Linked DNA regions of Macaca mulatta. The protein of the gene in region 1 purifies or fractionates together with the protein of each later gene. This does not show direct contact. Links are inferred from orthologs where the notes say so. Each region holds a gene or a part of one and is shown in the gene's direction. Other genes may lie near its edges.

Region 1 (6,870 bases):
ATTATTTTCCTTTATCTGATGTCTGAAGAAAAAAATAAGCTGAGGTCAGCAAGTAAGTGGGCCTTTATGAAATCAGCCTTTGAAAAACTCAGGGAAAGACAACTGATTCAAACAGTGTTTCCCCTTGAAAAGTGCAGCCCGATGGCCGTTGAGATGTCATAAATCCTAAGAGCTTCTATGACCTGGCGAAGGTATAGGTTGCTGTTAAACAGTGGGTGAGTGTAAAACAGGGAATAATTTGCCCCATGGTGCTTGATGGACGGGTGGGAAGCTTTCAGGTTCTCTTGTTTTACAAAGTGCCCTGTCAGCCTCCCTACCCCTTTTACCCTATCTATCTCCTCAGTCAAAGGCTGCTTTTAGATGAGGATTTCTCAACTTCAGCATTGTTGATATTTGGGATGGATAGTTCTTGGTGGTGGAGGTTGCCCTGTGTACTGTAGGGTCTTCTATTGATAGCAGCATCCCTGGCTTCTGCCCTCTTGATACTGGTAGTACTCCCCGGTTGTGACAACTAAATATGTCTCCAGATATTGCCACATGTGTCCTGGAGGGCAGTATCAACCCCCCCCGAGAGTGATCTTATTCCGGTGTTGCCTGCGGGGAGAAGGAAGGAGCCCCATCCTCTAGCCTGTCCGCTTTCACCCTTGATGGTCCTCACTTGTGACCAGTTGAAGAAAGGGGACTGTATCTGAAATGCTAATTTGGACTTCCCTTCAACCTAGTCGAAAACATTTTAATTGTTATAAAAACACCAAAACTGTGAAAATATGCAGCATATGAAACTATCTTAGCTGTTGATACCTGGAGTTGGGAAATAGAAGTGCCCTGAAATGTTCTGTTAACAGTATCTATGCTGGTCTGCGGGAATGCTGTTGATTTGTGTCAAAACTACCTGATATTTTATTTCTGCTGAATCATTTACCACTATTTTTACCGTGTTTCTTTAAGTAGATAGTGGTCTTTTTTTCCCTCTTCCCAGTGTACGTCCTGTCACAGGAAGGTCAGTCTGCAAGTTGTGAAACCTGTATTCTGGCCTCAGCTCTGTGATAGGTTGACTTGGTAGCCTGGGACCTTGCTTCACAGGGCCTACTCTTCTCATCTGGAAAATGATGGGGAGAGCTAGATTCCTGGTTTTCAGTTTGCTACCCAGGTCAATGATCGTCAGTTACTTTTCCCTGACAAGCTGCGTGTTTCCATGCCCTCCCTCCACTGACTGGCTGTCATCCCCAGTAAATCTCAAGAGGGGATCATAGCTCAATCTTGGCAGGGGAAATGAGGGGAGTTTATAACTTCCGAAGATTGAAACATTGCAGACCCTGAGCTTGTTACACTTTCATCCCAGCTTCCAAATGCTAAGTTGGTAAAATAATTCGCCCTCTGTCTACTACTCTTCCAAGCTTCCTACTCCACCAAGACAATCCTAGGGATGTTCACATCTTTGTGGTGACAGTAATTTGTGGCTAATAATTCCTGAGCTTGCACAATTACAGTATGCTAATTTTTGCATGGCAGGAATTTGATAGTGCAATATACACAGCCCTTTTTCTCTTTCTCTGAAGTATTAGTCTCAGCTAAACTTCATTATTTACCCTTATCCATAATTTCTAGGGCCCAGTTGCTTTAGATTATTAAGATACCAAATAAAATGATCCATTTCAAAAATAAATGTGACATTTTACAGTGTGGATGAAATGCTACCACGTTTGGTGTTTGCTGAGAACTACTTTACTTTGCATAAAAAAGTCCTTTATTACATGGTTGGTGACACTTAGGCTTTCATTTGTTTTTGAACAGCATGATGTAGAAATAAATAAAATTATATCCACAACTGCATCAAAGACAGAAACACCAATAGTGTCTAAGTCTCTGAGTTCTTCTTTGGATGACACTGAAGTTAAGAAGGTTATGGAAGAATGTAAGAGGCTGCAAGGTGAAGTTCAGAGGCTACGGGAGGAGAACAAGCAGTTCAAGGTAATAGTTTATTTTCTGGTAATCTACAGAGAACAAGGGCATTTTCACTAGCTTCTTGGGTGGGGAAGTTGATGAGCCAGTGAATGTATAGATTTCTTTTGCTTTTGGTATTTGGCTGTTTTTTTCTCCCCAGGGAGAAATTTCCATGGCTTTCATCAGATTCTCAAAAGGGTCCTTGGATCTGTGTAAATTAAGAACCACTGTCCCTTGATCAGAAGTTTCTCTACTGTTTAAGCTGTTGTCCCCTTGGAAAAAAAAGAAAAACCTCGGCCGGGCACGGTGGCTCACGCCTGTAATCCCAGCACTTTGGGAGGCCAAGGCAGGCCGATCACAAGGTCAAGCGTTGGAGACCAGCCGGGCCAACACAGTGAAACCCCGTGTCTAATAAAAAATTAAAAAAAAAATTAGTTGGGTGTGGTGGTGGGCGCCTGTAATCCCAGCCACTCAGGAGACTGTGAGGCAGGAGAATCACTTGAACCCAGGAGGCGCAAGTTACAGTGAGCTGAGATTGCGCCACTGCACTCCAGCCTGGGTGACAGATCTAGACTCCATCTCAAAAACAAAACAAACAAACAAAACCCCCCAAAATTCACACTTTCCATTAGTGTAAATTGAAAATAAATGTTGAGACCAAAATAGCAGTTTTTATTTTGAATATGCGTTTTTAAACCCCACGCCATCCCCATTCACTTGGGTGAGAATCTTTTTTTCAGAGGGTAAGTACTGACCAATACTCTGATTCAATGCAGGTATAGTTCTGATTTTAGAAGACTCTAAATAGGTCTGGGCAGTTTTGGCTCCTCAAACTGTTGATGTGGTGATGAGCTTGGAGGTGGGGTGCCTCACAGTCGTTAGGAGGTGGAGATTATGGAAAGAAAACCTGAGCCTCTAGCTCGTGGACGAGGCAGTTGGCATTGGCAATGGAAGGTTGTATTGTACTGAGTGGTGAAGGGGGGAGTCAGAGGGTGTTTCTTTTGGCTGGGAGGCTTGTGGTGGTGTGGAAGTTGCTCCCATCCAATATGAAACAGCTCTGAATCTGTGCTGGTCACAGCATCTTTTAGGCCTCTGTTTGCTAAACACCTCTAAGGCCCCTTCCAGCTTTAAAAGTATGAGTTTTCTTCTCTTTTACTCTTGACAATGAGGTAGATACAGGAGAACTGACAACATTTGGGAAATGGCATCATCTTCTTCCTTTGCAGTGATCTTGATTTGCCTCAGTCAGTAACTTCTTTAACGTGTAAGTAAATTGTGAAGCCGACACTACGTTTTGGCTAACAATCTAAGCTATGCCTGAAGCTTCTCCTCGAGTGTATTTCTCTTCTGAAACAGAGTTCTGTGCTGTTTAAAGTGGTAAATAGGTAGAAATAGCTTCTATATAACCCAATAAAATAAATGGTGTAGTTAGCTGGTTTTTTTTAAGTCAGTTGGACACCACCTTGTTTATCACTGTGCAGTGATATTGCCATGCCCCATGAGCAGAATATCCTTAAAATATGATCAGACTAATCTCGACATTAGAAGATTCTTTATCCTGCCAGACGCTGCCTTCTTGTTTTGTGTTGGTTTATTCTGTCATCTGGCCAACAAATGAGGGTCTAATATGTGCCTGGCACTGTGGATTCAAACACAAACAGTCCCTGCCCTTGAGGAGCTCTCTGTTAATGGGATAGCAGGGAGAGACATACACAGAAATTATTATAAGCCAGTGTGATAAATGTCCCACAGAGATAGCAACAAATTGCAGGAAGAGTCAGCTCCGTGGGATTCATCTGCCTGTGGTCTCCAGGACCTACTAGGTACTCGGGTGGATGGGAGAGAATGGAAGGAAACGAAGAAAAGAAAGTACAGCTGGTGTGTGGGGTTTGGGGATGAGTAGATGAGGTAATTATCAAGAGATCTTTCAGCAAAGATGAGTCTGGGCCAGAATAGAATGGCTTGATGCATGTCCCTCTTCAGGGATGTGGGCTTGGCTTTGAGAGCATGGAAATGGCATCATAGATCTACATGGTAACTTGCAGATTCTTAGGAAAGTGCAAGGCAGTTGTGGCAGTGGAGGTGAAGGAAGAAAAAAATTTTCATTTCTTACATATCCATGTAGTTTGGGGACAAGGGGAGGGTGGGGGATACGGTCAGACATCTTTATATGTGTGAAAAAGAATGTTGCTTCTTCAATGAGAAATCTATGCATTAAGTAGAAAATATTTGAGATGAGTGTACCAAGGCCAGTCACATTTTAATATTCCAAATATCATTTGATCCAGCAGTCTGGATGTAGTTCATCAGGTACCAGCTATGTACAGAGCTCTGCATTTGAAAGCTTCCAGATGTCCCACTTTTAGATTTTTTTTTTGATATGGAGTCTCACTCTGTCACCTCAGGCTAACTTTTGTATTTTTAGTAGAGATGAGGTTTCATCATGTTGACGAAGGTGGTCTCGAACTCCTGAGCTCAGGTGATCCACCCGCCTCAGCCTCCCAAAGTGTGGGGATTACAGGCATGAGCCACCGTGTCCAGTTGACTTTGTAGTTTCTTATGATTTGTATATTTATGTCTTGGGAAATGCCTCTCATTTAAAAAATTGATGATTTGATCAAGGAAGGCTATTCATTAGAGGCAGGAAGGACAGAGAGGTTGGGGTTGAAGAGAAGCATCTGAAAGACATGGCCGTAAAGGTGGGTGGGGCTGAGGGTGCAAAGGGCCCAGTTGACCCTTTTAAGAACTTTTTTCTGTAAATCATGGGAAACCAAGGAGCACCCTGTTTAGATTTCTGTTATAACTAGCAGCATCAAGTGGAATGTATGAAAGAAAAGAGGGGACTGTTTTCTCTGTGGCTTCAGGCTAGCCCTTTCCCCTCTGTAGCCTGCAGTTTCTCCATTTGCAAAATGAGGTTGGACCATATCATGTCGGCCAACACTGGGCATGAACAGCCCATCCTGTTAAGCTGTACGGTTGACTCCCCTTTCTGGTGCCTTGGCTTGTCTTTGAAATGTGCATTTGCTCCCATAGGAAGAAGATGGACTGCGGATGAGGAAGACAGTGCAGAGCAACAGCCCCATTTCAGCGCTAGCCCCAACTGGGAAGGAAGAAGGCCTTAGCACCCGGCTCTTGGCTCTGGTGGTTTTGTTCTTTATTGTTGGTGTAATTATTGGGAAGATTGCCTTGTAGAGGTAGCATGCACAGGATGGTAAATTGGATTGATGGATCCACCATATCATGGGATTTAAATTTATCATAACCATGTGTAAAAAGAAATTAATGTATGATGACATCTCACAGGTCTTGCCTTTAAATTACCCCTCCCTGCACACACATACACAGATACACACACACAAATATAATGTAACAATCTTTTAGAAAGTTAAAAATGTATAGTAACTGATTGTGGGGGGAAGAATGATCTTTATTAATGACAAGGGAAACCATGAGTAATGTCACAATGGCATATTGTAAATGTCATTTTAAACATTGGTAGGCCTTGGTACATGATGCTGGATTACCTCTCTTAAAATGACACTCTTCCTCGCCTGTTGGTGCTGGCCCGTGGGGAGCTGGAGCCCAGCGTGGTGGGGAGTGAGGTCATCTCCACACAGTAGTCCCCACATGGCCCACTCCCGGCCCAGGCTGCTTTCCATGTCTTCAGTTCTGTCCAAGCCATCAGCTCCTTGGGACTGATGAACAGAGTCAGAAGCCCAAAGGAATTGCACTGTGGCAGCATCAGACGTACTCGTCATAAGTGAGAGGCGTGTGTTGACTGATTGACCCAGCGCTTTGGAAATAAATGGCAGTGCTTTGTTCTCTTAAAGGGACCAAGCTAAATTTTTATTGGTTCATGTAGTGAAGTTGAACTGTTATTCAGAGATGTTTAATGCATATTTAACTTATTTAATGTATTTCATCTCATGTTTTCTTATTGTCACAAGAGTACAGTTAATGCTGTGTGCTGCCAAACTCTGGTGGGTGAACTGGTATTGCTGCTGGAGGTCTGTGGGCTCCTCTGTCTCTGGAGAGTCTGGTCATGTGGAGGTGGGGTTTATTGGAATGTTGGAGAAGAGCTGTCAGGAAGTGTTTTTCTGGGTCAGTAAATAACAACTGTCATAGGGAGGGAAATTCTCTGTAGTGACAGTCAACTCTAGGTTACCTTTTTTAATGAAGAGTAGTCAGTATTCTAGATTGTTCTTATACCACCTCTCAACCATTACTCATACTTCTAGCACCCAGGCCCAAGTCTGAGCCTAACCTCTCCTTGGGGACCTAGCTTGGAGTCAGGACGAATGGATCGGGGTGCAGAAGGTTAGAATCGAGGGCACCAGCAGTTGGGGGTGGGGAGCAGTGGGAGAGAGAGACTCTTCAGCTAATCCTTCTAGTACTAGTTGAGAGTTTGACTGTGAATTAATTTTATGCCATAAAAGACCAATCCAGTTCTGTTTGACTATGTAGCATCTTGAAAAGAAAAATTATAATAAAGCCCCAAAATTAAGAATTCTTTTGTCATTTTGTCACATTTGCTTTATGGGGGGAATTATTTTATCATTTTTATTATTTTGCCATTGGAAGGTTGACTTTAAAATGAGCTCTATCACTGGGAAATATGTGTTTCATGATTTAAATGTACGTGTGTGTGTGTGTGTATATATATATATATTTTTTTTTTTGGTTGTCTTCAGCTGACAGTATGAAAAATAAAACTGCTGAAAAAGCTGAGCACCTGGTCACCCTTGGCCTTCCATTGCTTTGGCCTTCAGTAAAAAGCAGCCTCGCTTCTAGGTCAGGGAACCATGCCATTGAGACTAGTAACAGGCGTTCTGGGCACAGTCCCACTGTGCACAGGTTTGAGAGGACAAGTTCATCAGAAGGAAGGCAGTCCTTAGAAGTCACATACGTCAAGCCACATTGCTCCTA
Region 2 (8,210 bases), on another chromosome or scaffold:
ATTATCACTAACTGAGGCAGCGGCGCGGGGCCTTGGGGGTGAGGGCAAAGGGGTCCTTGAGGTCGCCCTTGGACCTGAGGACAAGCCAAGCCTCAGGAAGAACGGTGCGCGGCGGCATAGATGAAGGGCCCGTTGCCATGGGAACAAACGCAGGCCTCGGGCGGGCGCATGCGCAGATCGGGGAGAGGGTGTTGAACCGGTGAAAGGTGACGTAAAAGCGCACGGGGTGGGGCGCGGGGCTCGGGACGTCAAAGCCCTGCGTCCTTCGGCCCCCGGAGCAGAGAAGCGCGCACGGCAGCGGTGACAGCGGCCACGGCAGCGGCGACAGCAACCCCTGCTGGGCCGAAACTGGGCAGAGCGGAGCAGACGTCTGAAGCAGCGCTAGTGAGGCGCGAGGGTGGCGCCCGCGCCCGGGAAGACACCCTCGGCGCGAACCGGCGGCCCAGCCCCGGGTCCGGGTTCCCGAGGCCCCGCCTCTAGGGCCTGGGGACTAATCGGATTGAAAGCGCGCCGGCCCGGGCCGCGAACTCGCCAATTGCGGAGGGCGGTGGCCACCGCCCAATCCGGAGCAGACAGGTGCGAGGTCCGGAAGGCGGAGGCCAATCGGCGGCGGTTGCGACCTGCTGGGGCAGGTCTCGGCCAATAAGGAGGCTCGAGTGACATCTTCGCCCACCAATCGGGAGTGAGGGAGCATTCGTGCCCGCTCGCCCTTCCGGCCAGACCTCTATTTACCAGGGGCGTGCAGCCCGCTTGCCAATCAGAGCGCGGCTGAGCGGCCCGGCAGCCAACCCCCGAGGAGCGGCCGGCTGGCGTCCGCCGCGCCCAGGAGTTGGGGATGTCCTACAAACCCATCGCCCCTGCCCCCAGCAGCACCCCTGGCTCCAGCACCCCTGGGCCGGGCACCCCGGTCCCTACAGGTGAGGATCCAGCTCCACCCCTGCTCGCCTGCCGGGCGGTCGAGGTCTCGAAGAGAAGACGGCCTGAGTTCTGCAATACTGGGCTTGCCGCCTACCCTCGCTGAGCCTCAGTTTGCTGGCCTGTGAAGTGGGCGTGGTCACGTAAGGGCTTGTAGGTGGAGCGCAGTGGGAGGGATTTGTCCCTGAAGTTGATCAGCCTGGAATGAAGCATCCTTTGGAGGGAATCGGGCGAACCCGGTCCTGGGCTTGGAAAAGCTGGGAGGCGGCGTCCCTGCCCCGCGCTGACCTCTTACTCGCGCCTGTTGCTGCAGGAAGCGTCCCGTCGCCGTCGGGCTCAGTGCCAGGAGCCGCCGCTCCTTTTAGACCGCTGTTTAACGACTTTGGACCGCCTTCCATGGGCTACGTGCAGGTGAGTGGGGCCAAAGGCTTGCTTATGGATGGGGACTGGAGTCCCCCTCCCCGCCAGGTGCCTGAGCTCACTGCCCTGTTCTCTTTTGACATAGGCGATGAAGCCACCCGGCGCCCAGGGCTCCCAGAGCACCTACACGGACCTGCTGTCAGTCATAGAGGAGATGGGCAAAGAGATCCGGCCCACATATGCTGGCAGCAAGAGCGCCATGGAGCGCCTGAAGAGAGGTAAGTGAGGCCAGGCCGCCCTGCTTAGGAAACCGACACTGGACTATCTTCCATTAGGGAAAGAAAGACATCCGGAGGCCACCTGAGCCAAGCCTAGAGGAGGGCCAGTATTACTACCCAGAGAGGTGTTTTGAATCGAATTGAAATTGCGTCCATTTCCAGGGAAGAGCCTGGGAATTTGTACTTCTACAGGGCAACCTTGAGGATTAACCAAACCTCTAATCTCATCTAGCCGTCATTAGTTTGGAATTTCTCTTGCTGAAAGGGGAAAGGGAGTGGGGAGGCAGGGGTCCTCCTCTGGAGGGCAGTGGGTGGGGCTGTGGAGGGTTGCTGAGACCCCACCCCACCACCAGGTATCATCCATGCTCGGGCCCTAGTCAGAGAGTGCCTGGCAGAGACAGAGCGGAACGCCCGCACGTAACAGGAAGCGCCCCGGCCTCAGCGTCTGGACCTTTCCCGGCCACTGCAGAGCACCCGCTTCTCCCTGGCCTTCATCCCGAGTTGCACTAACCATCCTGGGCTTCCTGTCCTGTGTCCCTTGGTGGGTCCCCTCCAGGAACCAAGGAGCGGCTCTCCAGGTGGCAGCACTAAGGACATCCCCCCACAACAAGAGTTAGCAGCGAGGTCCCCATGAGTCCCACCCATGACCTGCCAACAGTGTTGCCCACCGGAACTTTCTGTGGTCCCCACCGCTCAGCCCTTCCCAGCCCTTCTCCCACTTTGTCCCGAGCCTCCTTCTCCCCCAGCAGGGGCTCAGGCCTGGCACCTCACTGCCTTGTGTCCTGAGCCATAGTGACTCTTTTATCTGTGTGTCTTTTGCTAAATATGCCCTTTTTATATTAATAAAAGATGATTTGGAGTTGTGCTCTCAGCTCTGAGCCTTTCTGGGTCTGGTTCTTCAGCTAAACCTGGGTGGGCCAGGCAGAGAAAGGGGAAGAGGAGACTAGGAGTGGGGAGGGTGTGACTAAACAGGGTTTGACTTGCCTCTGTGGGCCATCAGCCTCAGGTGGGAACCGGGCCCTCTCCGCCCCAGCCGTGGCGCTGAGAGCCCTGGGCCTTCCTGTGGTGCCACCAGGGGGCAGCACAGGGCCTGGCTGCTTCCACAGCCCTTGGCGCTATGGGCAGCCTGGGCCTGGAGGGCGCTTCCTCTGGATTGGCGGTGATGCCTGGCAGCATGGAAATGCCAGTTCACGTAAGCCACTCCCTCAAACGCCCTAATGCCCTGACAACACCCCAGCCTCTGAATCAGCCCTGAAGGTCTCTGACTCCTCAGAGAGAACGGGCACTGCTGCTTCCAGCCCTTGGCCTCACAGTCAAGGGGAGGGGCTGGCCGGGTGCTGCTGTCACTACCCCAGCACCTTGTAGCAGGCTGGGTGGGATCCCATGAGCCCAGCCTTGCGGTGCCTCATGAGGCCTTTGCCCAGACTCCGGGTGGCTGGGTGACCAGACTTGTGGACCCGGAAGGCAGAGGTGGGGGAGGCTTTGTGGCCCCATGCAGGGACTAGCCCAGCCACTCAGAGTGACAACCCGCTTCTGCCTGGGCGTGTAGCTGGGTGACCATAGAGGCCTGGGGCCCTGGAGCCCAGCCCTAGGTGGAGGCACGTCAGAGCCGCCAGCTTCTGGCTAGACTGGTGGGGAGGCATTTCCTCTACCCTGGGTCCCAAATCTAAGGACTGGGTGAGAAGAGGAGAGTGGGCCTGGGACCTCCTTTATCAAACTCCACCTTGTCACTGTACACAGGAGGGCTGGGCTAGGGTGGAGATAGGAACTAAGAGTCTTTGGGGACCCCAGTCAGCACTGAGGGACTAAGAAGTGCCAGAATTTAGGCAATGGCCTCTTTCCCACTGCCCGGGGGAAGGAAGGCAGGGGCCTGCCTCCCCGCCTCCTCCGCTGCAGGCGGGGCTGCCCGGACCCCGCCGGGGTGGGGAGGGCCAGCCGGGCCCAGGAAAGGGGCGGGGCGGCCGCAGTGACGCGGCGGGCTGCGGGGAGGGACGGCAGGGGCGCCGGCGGGCGGATCGAGAGGAAGGTCGGGGCCATGGGCCGGCACTGCGCCTCGGGAGGGTCCGGCCACCGCTGGAACCCAAGGCCGGGGCTGGGGGCGCTCCGGGCTCCGACCCACGGGCCGGCCGGCCCTGCCCGGGCTGGGTGAGGGGCGCCCGCCTCAAGCTAGAGGTGAGCCGGGACGTCGGCAGGCGGGCCGAGAGCGCGGCAGGGGACCGGGACGCCGGCGAGCAGAGGGAAGTGGGGACAACGGGGCCTCTCGCTTGCTCGCGGGGTGCGAGTGGGGGATGGAGGGGTGCCTGCAGCGGAACCTCGGTGCCAGTCTGGGGCGCAGGTGGGCGGAGCGGGTCTCCAGGGCCAGGGCCCGTGGGATACCAAGTGGAGCCACTCTGGCCTCAGCCTGAGGAGGGCTCACCCCCCCAGAAGAGGACGGGGTGGCTGCCTAGGCGCGTGGAGAGCCAGCGAGGGCCGGGGGTCCAGGAAGGATGCTGGGAGGGGGAGGTCGAGGACCCGGCTGCCCTGCATGGTGAAGAAGGCAGATCTGGAGGGCGGAGGGGATTCCTAGTCCCCGAAGGTAGGTTCTGGTGCAGGGCATGGGGAACCCTGGCAGAGATGCTGGGCGCACGGGGCCACTCGGCGCAGAGACACTCGGGGAACAAAGCTCTAGGTGGACGTCTGAGAGTGGGGGACCTGGGACCCCGCTGACTCCGGGAAAGGGATGCAGGGGGCGGGTCCCCAAGGGGCCGGTCGCGGAAGGCGGGCCCGGAAGGAGGGGCCCCGGGGCTTCGGAGGGCGCGCCCCCGAGAGATGCCGTTTCCCGGGGTTAGGACGCGGTCGCAGCGGGAGAGGCAAGGTGGCCCTCCCGCCCGCCGGCCGGAGCCTGGCGCTCCGGGGGGCCCGCGTCAGCACGCGGTTGCCATGGCGACGGGCGGGCGGGGGGCGGGGGCTGCGCGGAAAAGAGGTCAGCGCTCAGCCTAGCTGCTGTTCCGGGCCCCGGCAGCGCGGGCGGCGTCGCTGGGCTCGCCTCTGCTTCCCCCGCGGTGGGCCCGGGCATGGGGTCCCGTGGCCTGAGCACCTCGGCCGGCGCGCAGGGCTCGGGGCCGCGCGCAGCCTCCCCGCACTGACTGCCGCGCCGTGCCCTGCGCCAGGAGGAGCGGAGGCCGCGCGCGGCCCGCCAGGCGCCTTCAGGATGCTCATCAAGGAATACCACATTCTGCTGCCCATGAGCCTGGACGAGTACCAGGTGGCCCAGCTCTACATGATCCAGGTGAGGGCGGCAAGGAGAGGGCACCCGGGCAAGGGGTGGAGCCCCGCCAACCCCGCCAGCCCTGCCACGGGGCTGAGACGGGCTGGGAGCCCGGAGGAGGCAAGAGAGGCCCCCTTCGGATGTGGGGATGGGGAAGGGCTGTGGGGAGAGGGGCAGGAGAGCCGAGTGGTGCTTCTCACCCGCTAAGTGCCCAGCCCTTCTCTGATCTCCTGTAATCCTCCTCAGGATCTGTAATCCCATCGGGGAAGGAAAAAGCGCCCAGGAGGCGGCAAGAATGAGGAGGGGGGCCTCCGCGGCCGAGGAGGGCGGGAGGGGGTCTGGAGAGGTGCAGAGTCTTGGCCACCCCTGGAGCTCAGGGAGATGGGGTGAGGACCAGGCGCCAAACCTGGAGCAGGGACAGGGCAGCATGGATCGGAGGGCGAGGGGGCTCTCGGGTAGGGCAGTGAGAAGAGTTGGCCAGGGCAGGCCCTCAGCAGTGGCCGGGTTGGTGCAGGGCCCCGGGGAGTCTGCTCCAGATCTCTCCCCAGCACAGCAGGACCAGAGTCTCATAAAGCAAGAGGGCCTGGACCCTGCCTCGGGGTTGAAAGGGCCATCTGAGCCCCAGAGCGATAGAAGGCAGGATCTGGGGGCTCTCAAGCTGTGAGGGGTGTGGCAGGAGCTGGGATTGGGAGGTGGCCTGGGCCTCCCAGAGAGGGAGGGGGCCAGGGTCCCCTTTTCCTCTCTTTGTCCCTTCTTCCTTGCCAGCCACCCTGGCCTCCTTGCCACCCGCCAGCACATCCAGTACGCTCCCACCTCAGGGCTGCACTGGCTTCCCCCTGCCTTGAGCACCTCCTCCCACCTCACCTCCTTAAAGTCATGTTCAAGCCATGGTCACTTTATGTTCTTAGCAAGGCCTTCCCTGACTATCAGATCAAAACTGCTGCCCCCAACCCTGATCACCTGTACCCTACTGTAGGCTTTCTTTTCCCATAACACTTAGCGCCTTCTAACACACCATATAATTTGCTTTTTCCTTTTGTCTGTCTTCTTCCACTAGAATGTAAGCTCCATGAGGACAGGTGTCTTTGTTCTATTCATCAATATATCTCAATTGATAGAATCCCAAACACTGCCTGGGGTGGAGCAGACACTCAATGAATACTTGAATGACTGAATTGAGTGCTGGGTTGCAGACCCCATGCAGGGCTGGGCTGCATCTGATTCCGATCCCAGGGAGCTTCGGTGGGGCAGTGTCTGGTTTCAGGGAGTTGAAAAGACTGGGACCAGGGCCCCAGAACTGCGCAGAACACCAGCCTAAGCTGGGGATCCCAGATGCTAAGCTGGGGCTGAGCTCCCTATTCTGCTCTCCCTTGGGCCACAGAAAAAGAGCCGGGAGGAGTCTAGTGGTGAGGGCAGCGGCGTGGAGATCCTGGCCAACCGGCCCTACACAGATGGGCCCGGGGGCAGCGGGCAGTACACACACAAGGTGTACCACGTGGGCTCCCACATCCCAGGCTGGTTCCGGGCACTGCTGCCCAAGGCTGCCCTGCAGGTAGAAGAGGAATCCTGGAATGCCTACCCCTACACCCGAACCCGGTGAGTGGGTGAAGTGGGCGTGGTCCGGGGCCAGGAGGGAAGCAGCCCTGGTGGGTACGGCAGTGAGCCTCACCCATGCCTTCTGCCCAGGTACACCTGCCCTTTTGTGGAGAAATTCTCCATTGAAATTGAGACCTATTACTTGCCTGATGGGGGGCAGCAGCCAAACGTCTTCAACCTGAGTGGGGCCGAGAGGAGACAGCGCATCCTGGGTGAGGCCTGGAGCTATGGAGGGACCCTGGCGCCCCTCTCAGTCTCCTGGCTGCCTCAGTGGGCAGCCTCTGAGAAGTCCCAGCCCTCTCCAAGCCTCATGTCCTATCTGCAAAAGGACAGGAACTGTCACCCAGTCCCAAGAGGGTGCCAGGAGCGGGGGCTCAAAGGGGCTGGCACTGCTCAATGCTTGCTGAACTCCCTCAGACACCATTGACATCGTGCGGGATGCAGTGGCTCCAGGCGAGTACAAAGCAGAAGAGGACCCCCGGCTGTACCGCTCGGTCAAGACGGGCCGAGGGCCACTGGCTGATGACTGGGCGCGGACGGCGGCGCAAACGGGGCCCCTTATGTGTGCCTATAAGCTGTGCAAGGTTGAGTTCCGCTACTGGGGCATGCAAGCCAAGATCGAGCAGTTCATCCACGATGTAGGTGAGCACCCAGCCGCGGGAGGTCCTGCTTACCCAGCATGCCCATGTTTAGGGCCAGGGATGCTCCCATCCACTGGGGACACAGAAGCAGAAAGCCATCATTTCCAGTTGAGGCGGGGAGCACTAGGGCAGAGGTGGCCGCACAGCCTAGCCAGGCATCCACAGAGCAGGAAGCTGGTAATATGAGCTACAAGGTCCATGCTGACTCTGACTTTCAGAAATGCTGCTGCTTCCATTAAGATTCTAAGATTCTCCATCATCCTATGAGCTGGGTGAGACTTAGAGATGCTCAGGAAGGTCACCTGCTCTAACTGGCAGCATGCTAAGGAGTGCAGGCTGAGGCTGTGACTCTGATGTCATTCTCTCTGGGATTCCCCCCCTCCACTCCCAGTTTCTAGTGTTCCAGCCTTTGGCCCTAGTGTTCAGGAGCCCCAGTTCCACACCTCCCCTCAACCTGACTCCACCACGCCTGCAGCTCAGCCCTGCCTCAGTGCCCAGGTCATCTGCACACAGAGGGATGATCCCTAGTTGGGGAGACCAGCGGCCTGGCTTCTGTCCCACTACTGACCCATGGTTCCTCCAGCAAGGCGCTGGCCATCTCTGCACTTTAAATGTCTCTTCAGTAAATTAGGAGGAGGTTGAGTCAGATATGAAGAGCTAATACTGACAGTGAGAGCAACACACAGACCCTTTGCTAATTACTTTCTGTGCAAGATCTCCCTTAACACCCACAACACCCCACCAGGTAATGACGATGATTATTCCCATTTTACAGGTGAGGAAATTCAGCTTATAGAATAATGAGGACTCCGTATCTTGCATTTGGAAAAATACCAAAAAGCACAAATAAGAAAATTAAAATCACCCACATATAGCCACTACTAAGATTCTGATATATCTCCTCACAGAAGTTTATAATTATCATTCAGCCATCATTACCTTATTTCCTAGATATTTAAGAGTTTCTAACTTTATTCTTCTGCTTAAGATAAAAATATCCCAGAATGGGTATCATCTTTCGCCACAACTGTCATTGAGTGCCAACACTTCCATTAACTATTAACACCTTCATTAACCATCAACAATTTCATTAACTGTTAGACACTTAATTAACTGTTAATTCCTCAGAAGTCAGCAGGAAGCCAGCCAAAAGCAAGAACAAGCATCGGTCCC
Region 3 (7,951 bases), on another chromosome or scaffold:
AATCCAAGGGGTGTGATTCACAAGGAGTTCTCTGCGGGTGGCACTTCCTGAAGCAAGACTTCAGAACACAATGTGAGTAGTGTCCCTTGGAGCTATGTGACTACCAGCTCTGTGGATTTCCTTTCTTCTCACCTTATTAGGAATTTTTCCTTCAGCTCTCCCATTTCCTCTTGGCCATCAATCTCTCTCTCTCCTAGAGTATTTCCACCACCATACCAACAGGTCTGCTATACTCTGCTCTAAAGGCAAACAAACAAAAACCCACACACACACACAAAACAAAAACAAAACAAAACAAACAAAAAAAACAACCAATCATCCTAGACTACGTTCCTCTCTTACTTGCTTTTTCAGCAGCGGTCCATATTTACCTTTTGAAGTAGTTTTCTCCCTTGGGTTCTACACCATCACTCTTTCTTTGTTTGCCTTCTATTTCTCTAGCCACTTCTATTCTTTCTCTCCCTTTGCTAGATATTTTTCCTCTATCTATTCTCTAAATATAGAATTTCTTCAGGACTTTATATGAGGTGCCACTTCTTCTCTTTCTATATTCTTTTCTGGAATCACCTCACCTAGACTTGTGATTTAAAATACCATCTCAACCCCAGGTCCTGCCTCTGAGTCCTATTCCTACACTCAATTTTCTCCTTGACATCTCCCCTAAACTATCTGACAAACTTGTCAAACTTAACATCTGCCAAATTCAACTCTTGTTTTCTTGCTCCTTCCACTTTTCCCCATCTCAGGAAATGGCACCATCCTCACACAGTTGCTTAGGCCAGATATCTGAAAATTATCCTTGATTCTTACCTTTTCCTTATCCCTGAATTCAATACAGTAACAAGTCTTGTCTGACCTACCTCCAAAATACATATCAAATTAGTTCACTTTGCCTGTTGACTACTCTAGTCAAAGATTCTCCACCCTCTCTCACTGGATGTTTTAATAGTCTCCAGCTATTCTTTCTTCTTCTTTTGCCCCCTCCCATGTATTCTTCGTGTAGCATCCAGACATTTGCAAAATGTGAACTGGATTACATTGCTCTTTTGCTTAAAACACTTCAGTGATTTCCAGTGTACTTAAAATAAAGTCCAACCCTGGTGTAGAGGGCCCTATGTGATATGGCTCATGCCAATCTCTTCAACTCTATCACAAACACTGTGTTCTAGGTGCAAGACACTCCTTCAGTTCATTAGATGAATCAGACTTTTCTACCTTTGAGCCTCTGGATAAGTTATTTCCTCTGCTTAGAAGCCTTCCCCACCCCTAACTCGCTTGCCTCTATCTTATCCTTCAGCTCTCCTCCAAGATTCTTCTTGTCAAGGTTACCACTGGCCTCCACATTGCTAATAGCCATGTTGACATATGTGGCACCTCTTCTCTCTGCTCATGCAGCAAAGTTCCAGTTCTTCTACAAGACCCTGAGTTCTTTGAAGTCAAACTCTGTACCTACAATACATTTTCATATCCCTGGAGCCTAACATAGTGATTGGCTTGTAGTGGGTGTTTAATGAATGCCTGTAAGTGAATGAAGGTGCAAGTTGAGATGTTTTGGGAAAGATTGCTACAGTAGTAACCCATACTTCCTCACTAGTGTAGTGGATAGAAACCACAAGGATCATCAAGAGACAGGAGTTCAAGGCTTGGCACTAGCAGTAACAACCTGTTGTCAAAATTCTTCTAATGTTTAGTTTCCTCATCTGGTCTATCTACATCACTAAAAAAGAATGATATCTTTCATTCTTATTTTAAGATTAATAATTTTTGGCTGGGTGCGGTGACTCACACCTATAATCCCAGCACTTTGGGAGGCTGAGGCGGGTGAGCACTTGAGCTCAGGAGTTCAAGACCAGCCTGGGTAGCATGGTGAAACCCTGTCTCTACCAAAAATACAAAATACTAGCCAGGCATGGTGGCTTGAGCCTGTGGTCTCAGCTACTCGGCAGGCTGAGGAGGGAGGATCACTTGAGCCTGGGAGGCGTAGGTTGTAGTGAGCAGAGATTGTCCCCTGCACTTCGGCCTGGGCAACAGAGTGAGACTCCATCTCAAAAAAATAAATAAATTAATAAATAATAATAATAATTTTTTTTTTGAGATGGAGTCTTGCTCTGTCACCAGGCTGGAGTGCAAGGGTGCGATTCCAGCTCACTGCAACCTCCGCCTCCCAGGTTCAAGTGATTCTCCTGCCTCAGCCTCCTGAGTAGTTGGGACTACAGGCGTGTGCCACCATGCCCAGCTAATTTTTGTATTTTTAGCAGAGATGGGGTTTCCCCATGTTGGCCAGGATGGCCTTGATCTCTTGACCTACCGATCCATCTGCCTTGGCCTCTCTAAGTTCTGGGATGACAGGTGTGAGCCACCACGCCCAGCCAATAATAATTTTTATCACTGAGGCTGTATCTCCCAGTTCCCCACCTCCAAATTCCCTCTGTGGGTTGCAAAACTCATTAAATGAGATTAAATTTTTAAAAACTTTTAATTATGTAAACATTCAAACCTAAACAAAAGTAGAGGAAATAGTATATCACTGGTTTAAACAATTATCCACTCATAACTTTTATTTCATTCCTAGCCTTACTCTTTTCTCCTTCCCATTACTTTGAGGCAAACCCCAGATGTGGCAGCATTTCATTTGTAAATATTTCAGGAAGAGAATTCATAACTGCTAGCTGACACCCCTTCTGTTCTTCAACAACTTAAAAAATGAAGCGTTTGTTGAACAGCATGTTGCTCTTCCCAGAAACCAGGTAACAAGTATGATTTTATTTCGGGACAATCAACTAGGCAAGTTCTTACAGGGTCAGGGGGCGCAGGGTAGAAGTGGTGAGTATTACAGCACCTAGCTTAGTGCGCTGCAATCAATAAATAGAGGTTGAATGAAAACAAACCCAATCGTTACAATGTAAGCCAACTGGTACTAACTACAAATAGTGGTTGAATGAAAACAAACCCAACAGGCTTTAGGTCTTTTAATCCAATCTTATCCACATGAGTTTAAGGTCTTGTCCTACCACCTTGCTTCTGTTCCCTTTCTGTATTCATTACAGGAAATTTTCAAGTTTTATTAAACCAGCTACAGCGGAGTTTTATTAACCAGTTGAGGGCGGACTAAAGTCTTCCAGACTCAGACGAAGAAGCAGCACTCCTACTTACCAGGGCGACTCAGGAACAGGGGGCGGGGAGTCAGGGGGCGGGGCCGCCAGGAGCCCCGCCCAGACCCCGCCCACGGCAACTCACCATCTAGCTTCCCCATCTCTTTCGCTCTTCTTCCCGGCAGGCTTAGCGCCCGGCCCGGCGCTCCTCAAGATGGCTGCTGACAGTGAGGTGATTTCTTTGCTCCCTACTTAATCCTAGTCACTATCTAAATTCGTTCCTCCATGTCGTCTCCTTGGGGCTTAATTTCATTTTCTTTTATTCCCCTTCCCGCAGCCCGAATCCGAGGTATTTGAGATTACGGACTTCACCACTGCCTCGGAATGGGAAAGGTGAGTGAATCGCATTTTTGCTTGCCAGCTCCCATGGGCCCTGGAGTCCCCTAGCCGCTTCCCTGACCCCAGACACACCACAAGTGACGCCACTTCTGCGGGAACGGTAATACCATGGGTCCCGGGTCCCCTCCTCCTCTCTTCTCTGGTCAACCGCAAGCCTCTTCCGCGTCTCGCGTCTGGGAAGACGCGGCCCGCCCCCGTCAGCCAATCCTTGAGGCTCAGGCTCTCCCAAAGTTTTGTTTTCTCTACCGTCAGACCGCTTTCCTTAGACTTTGGTTTTCTGGTTGTTACCCACTCGCAAGAACAATTTCCGAGGCTGCAACACCCGTTCCGGTTTTCATTACCGTTTAACTCATTATCGTAAGCAGTAAACTTGGCAGGTGCGTCCCCCACCCCATCCCGTATACGTTGGTATACCCTTTTCAGGAGGAAGTCTTTCTTCAGAGTATTGGTGGTTGTCCGTCTGTCACACTCCCACCATCTCCATGCTGTCTTTAATTTTTTATTTTTATTTATTTTTGGAGACAGAGTCTCAGTCTGTCGCCCAGGCTGGAGTGCAGTGGCGAGGTCATAGCTCACTGCGGCCTCGAACTCCTAGGCTCAGGTGACGCTCCCGCTTTAGCCTCAGGAGGAGCTGGGGCCACAGGCACGCGCCATCACGCCAAACTAATTTTTTAAAGATCTCGTTGTGTTGCCCAGGCTAGTCTTGAACTCCTGGACTCAAGCCTCGGCCGCCCATAATGTTGAGATTACAGGCGTGAGCCTCCGCGCCTGGCCTATCCTGTCTTTTAGAATAACCTTTTAAAAAAGTCTGCATATGGCTTTGGAATGCTTTGATTTAAGTTGTTACATTTCAGTGGGTACTGTGTCCAGGCTTCCTGTGCTTATCAAACTCAGATGAACAGCTGTCTGGGTGAAACTGTTCTATCACTGAAATTAGTTGAAAGCCAAGTTTATGGAGGAGTGATAGCTTAGATCGAGAAGGTTTCTGTTGAGTGTCACAGAAAGCCTTCAGTTTTCTGGGTGTCGAAGTCAGTGTTTACGCTGTTATAACATTTTATAATCTTTCTGGTTGGGAGAGGAAATTTGTGGATGTTGTGTCATTAGGTGGTCCTTATTGGAATAATAGACCTGTGGTACCCTTCATAAAATTATCAGTAAGACATAACCACACTGGCAAGATTTCACTGAGCAGGTACTGGGTGTCCAGAGCTATCTACAAAGGGAAAAGCAGAAACTTGACCCATATATTTTTAAAAAACAACAAACAGCAAATAGTTAAAATGTAAGCCAATTTATACTACCTATAAAAATAATAATTAAAATAATTATTATTTAAATAGGGGTGATATTGTGGGCTACAATAGTTGGAGATATTTTCATAGAAAACATAGGAAATGAGCTGGGCCTTGAAAGTGGGAAGTGGTTGGTTAAACATGAGAATGGACTGACATGGGCAGAGACACAGGTGAGAATGAACCTTTGAAGGGACTTGTATCTTTACTAGAGTGAAGACTGTCTATTGAAGGGAAATAAGTAAGGTTAATGAGGAAGATGGGATTGGGTTATGGACATCTTCCCAAACTAAATGCAGGAATTCAGATTCAGTATTCCTATGACCAGTGATTCTCATACTTTACATCAGAGTCATAGATTGCTGGACACCATTCTCAGAGTTTCTGATTCTGTAGGTCTGAGGTGGGACTAAAAATTTTGCTTCTGTAACACGGTCTCAGGGAATTCAGATGCTGCTGGTCAGGAGACTGCACTTAGAAAGAACCACTGGTTAAGACAATAGTGAGAGACCCTTGATTTTAGAGTGGCCAGGTGATATGATGAGAGTGGTTTTAGGACATGGTGTAGAATAATGGCAGGAGACTTAACTTGATTCGTAATTAGGATGGTGATTTGTGGACTGGAATACAAAGGGAGCCTAGAAGGGAGGATTGTAACATATTTCAGAGAAGATTTAGGTAATAAGCTTGATGATACGTTAAGAGTGGGAAAAATCAAATGTGAACTGCAGTTTTTTGCCTGAAAGAATGAAGATAAGGAAGTGTCAAAGTGAGAAGATTTGAACCTGTTTTGAACCTGTTGATTTTGAAATAATTTGATGTCTTGAAGGTAGTTAGAAAAATGTAATTCAAATCTTGGAGGGTGGGGGTAGGCAAACATCAGAGTTTTGAATGGAAAAATGATCACTTTCCCTTAGTTAAAAATATCCTGAAGTGGAATATTAAGTCCTTTAGCTTTGCATATGGAAATAATTATTAATGTAGTTATAAGAACTATTGCAAAGTAGAAAATTCTGTTTTTGGCTTTTATACTGTTTGTAGTGTGCATTTTACAATGCATGAGAAAAAATGTTAAGACTTTGAAGTCTCAAACCTTGAGTTTAATTTTAAATGAAAGATCTTATTAATACAATATGTTATGAACTATGTAGATCATTTATTGAGAGAACTGTATAGAAGCCCATAACTCTTTTTATCGTTTGTTCATTGACATAATATTTATTGAATCCCCATGTGTCAAGCACAGTGCATATTAGGGATTTAGGGATGTGGTGGTTAGTAAAACAGGTACGGTTTCTGCTCTTACTAAATGTACAGTCTAGTGCATTACAGACACAAATCAAGTAATACAAGTGTGTAATTATGAGTTTATGTAAGAGCTAGAAAGGGAAGGAAACCTGGTCTTATAAGAACCTATAACAAAGGGACCTAATATAGAATAAGGAATCAGGAAATGACCCTTCATTTCCTGAGAGCTTTTAAGGGAAAAATTACTTAGTTTTTCTAGTCAAATCTCAATACTTGTAGGATAAAGTCCAAGTCTCTTAGCTAGTACTGATAGAATTCATTATTCTTATAATAAGTATTTTAAGACATTCCTGGCCGCGCATAGTGGCTCATGCCTGATCCCAGCACTTAGGGAGGCTGAGGCAGGCGGATCACTTGAGCTGAGGAGTTCAAGAGGAGCTGGAGCAGCATGCTGAAACCTTGTCTCTACTAAAAATACAAAAGCTAGCTGGGTGTGGTGATGTGCACCTGTAGTCCCAGCTAGCCAGGAGGCTGAGATAGAAGGATTGCTTGAGTCCTGGAGGACAAGACTGCAGTGAGCCGTGATTACACCACTGCATTCCAGCCTAGGTGACAGAGTTCAGACACTGTCTCAAAAAAAAAAAAAAACAAAAAACATTTCTTCTATAACTGTAACAATAATGCCTTATAGTAGAATAAAATATAAAAATCACCTGTAAACTTACCACAGGAAATAACTACTGTTAATTTTTGGACGTATTTCCTTTTAACCTGTGTTATTTGGATCAAATATTAATATTTCTTTTCTTTTCTTTTTTTTTTTTTTTTGAGACAGAGTCTCACTCTATCGCCCAGGCTGGGGTGCAGTGGCACAATTTTGGCTCACTGCAACCTGTGCCACCTGGGTTCAACCAGTTCTCTTGCATCAGCCTTCTGAGTAGCTGGGATCGTGCCACTGTGCCCAGCTAATTTTTGTTGTATTTTTAGTAGAGATGGGGTTTCACCGTCTTGAACAAACTGGTCTTGAACTCCTGACCTTGTGATCCACCTGCCTTGGCCTCCCACAGTGCTGGGATTACAGGCGTGAGTCACTGTGCCTGGCCTTTGTGTATTTTCTTTTGACTGACATGATTTTTAATGGGTGCATATTAGTCCTCGGAGAGGATGAACATACCATTAATTTACAAGGGTTTGCTGCAGTTGGGCATTGAGGTAACTTCCAGTTTTTTTACTTTCATAAATATAGTATACATTTCATGCAAATTTTTGCTTGCCTATGGATATATTTAAATTTTTTCTTTTTGGTAAACATGTAAACTTGTTTCTAGAGCACTCATTTTCAAACCTACTAATTGTCATGACTGACCCCCTGCCATGAATTAGTGTATGAATTGATACTGCATTTAATTTTAAAGAGGATTTACTAAGAAGCCTCAGATGAATCATAGATTTATTATTACTACCTTAAAACATAAATATTAGTTCATAATGTCACTGAAGAAAAAAGTCTGTTGCCTTTTCATACAGTTTGACTAAAATTAACTCTAGTACTCTAGTAGTACTTCCTAGGTGTTTAGGGAGCAATGTTGCTGTTAGATTGCATCATACTTAGCTTATATAAGAAGTCAACTTAGAGTAATAACAAGTCTTCTGAATGTGTCTTTGACTGAGACTTGACAGTTTTCATTTAGTGATGTTGAACATGTTGCTAGTCAAAATTCAGTTCTCTTTTTAATAGGCCTTCTTGATCATTGGATTTAAAGATTAGTGAATAGTTTTAAGATCTGTCAGTTATCCTTAAAATTGACATATTTACTTGTAATTTCTTGTCAGCTGTCCATTAAAACTTGTTTTAGTTTCATGAACCAAGTTCCCAAATAATACTTTCTTTTTTTGTTGGGGTGGGGGGAGTAAATCAGG

The links. Proteins that work in one complex are often made in the same cells at the same time.
Region 2: the proteins of VAPB (region 1) and PITPNM1 purify together in Homo sapiens (affinity purification with mass spectrometry; 5 studies listed by BioGRID and IntAct, counting the BioPlex papers as one, with this or other methods). This does not show direct contact. The link is inferred for Macaca mulatta from reciprocal best matches to the Homo sapiens genes VAPB and PITPNM1.
Region 3: the proteins of VAPB (region 1) and RAB3GAP1 purify together in Homo sapiens (affinity purification with mass spectrometry; 4 studies listed by BioGRID and IntAct, counting the BioPlex papers as one, with this or other methods). This does not show direct contact. The link is inferred for Macaca mulatta from reciprocal best matches to the Homo sapiens genes VAPB and RAB3GAP1.

What each region holds. Positions count from the first base shown.
Region 1 is NC_133415.1:111,242,362-111,249,231, forward strand, and holds part of VAPB (vesicle-associated membrane protein-associated protein B/C), read left to right. Parts: intron 1-1,794; coding exon 1,795-1,971; intron 1,972-4,977; coding exon 4,978-5,136; 3' UTR 5,137-6,870. UniProt on the Homo sapiens protein: Endoplasmic reticulum (ER)-anchored protein that mediates the formation of contact sites between the ER and endosomes via interaction with FFAT motif-containing proteins such as STARD3 or WDR44.
Region 2 is NC_133419.1:6,873,753-6,881,962, forward strand, and holds the start of PITPNM1 (membrane-associated phosphatidylinositol transfer protein 1), read left to right. Parts: upstream 1-3,549; 5' UTR 3,550-3,725; intron 3,726-3,727; exon of another isoform or gene 3,728-4,128; intron 4,129-4,525; exon of another isoform or gene 4,526-4,702; 5' UTR 4,703-4,743; coding exon 4,744-4,821; intron 4,822-6,181; coding exon 6,182-6,396; intron 6,397-6,486; coding exon 6,487-6,608; exon of another isoform or gene 6,609-6,639; intron 6,640-6,750; exon of another isoform or gene 6,751-6,813; coding exon 6,814-7,038; intron 7,039-8,210. Other genes in the region: CDK2AP2 (cyclin-dependent kinase 2-associated protein 2), read left to right, coding at 1,120-1,326, 1,421-1,553, 1,907-1,974. UniProt on the Homo sapiens protein: Catalyzes the transfer of phosphatidylinositol (PI) between membranes. Binds PI, phosphatidylcholine (PC) and phosphatidic acid (PA) with the binding affinity order of PI > PA > PC. Regulates RHOA activity, and plays a role in cytoskeleton remodeling.
Region 3 is NC_133417.1:26,678,716-26,686,666, forward strand, and holds the start of RAB3GAP1 (rab3 GTPase-activating protein catalytic subunit), read left to right. Parts: upstream 1-3,290; 5' UTR 3,291-3,306; coding exon 3,307-3,324; intron 3,325-3,429; coding exon 3,430-3,485; intron 3,486-7,951. Other genes in the region: MAP3K19 (mitogen-activated protein kinase kinase kinase 19), read right to left, coding at 1,272-1,357. UniProt on the Homo sapiens protein: Catalytic subunit of the Rab3 GTPase-activating (Rab3GAP) complex composed of RAB3GAP1 and RAB3GAP2, which has GTPase-activating protein (GAP) activity towards various Rab3 subfamily members (RAB3A, RAB3B, RAB3C and RAB3D), RAB5A and RAB43, and guanine nucleotide exchange factor (GEF) activity towards RAB18.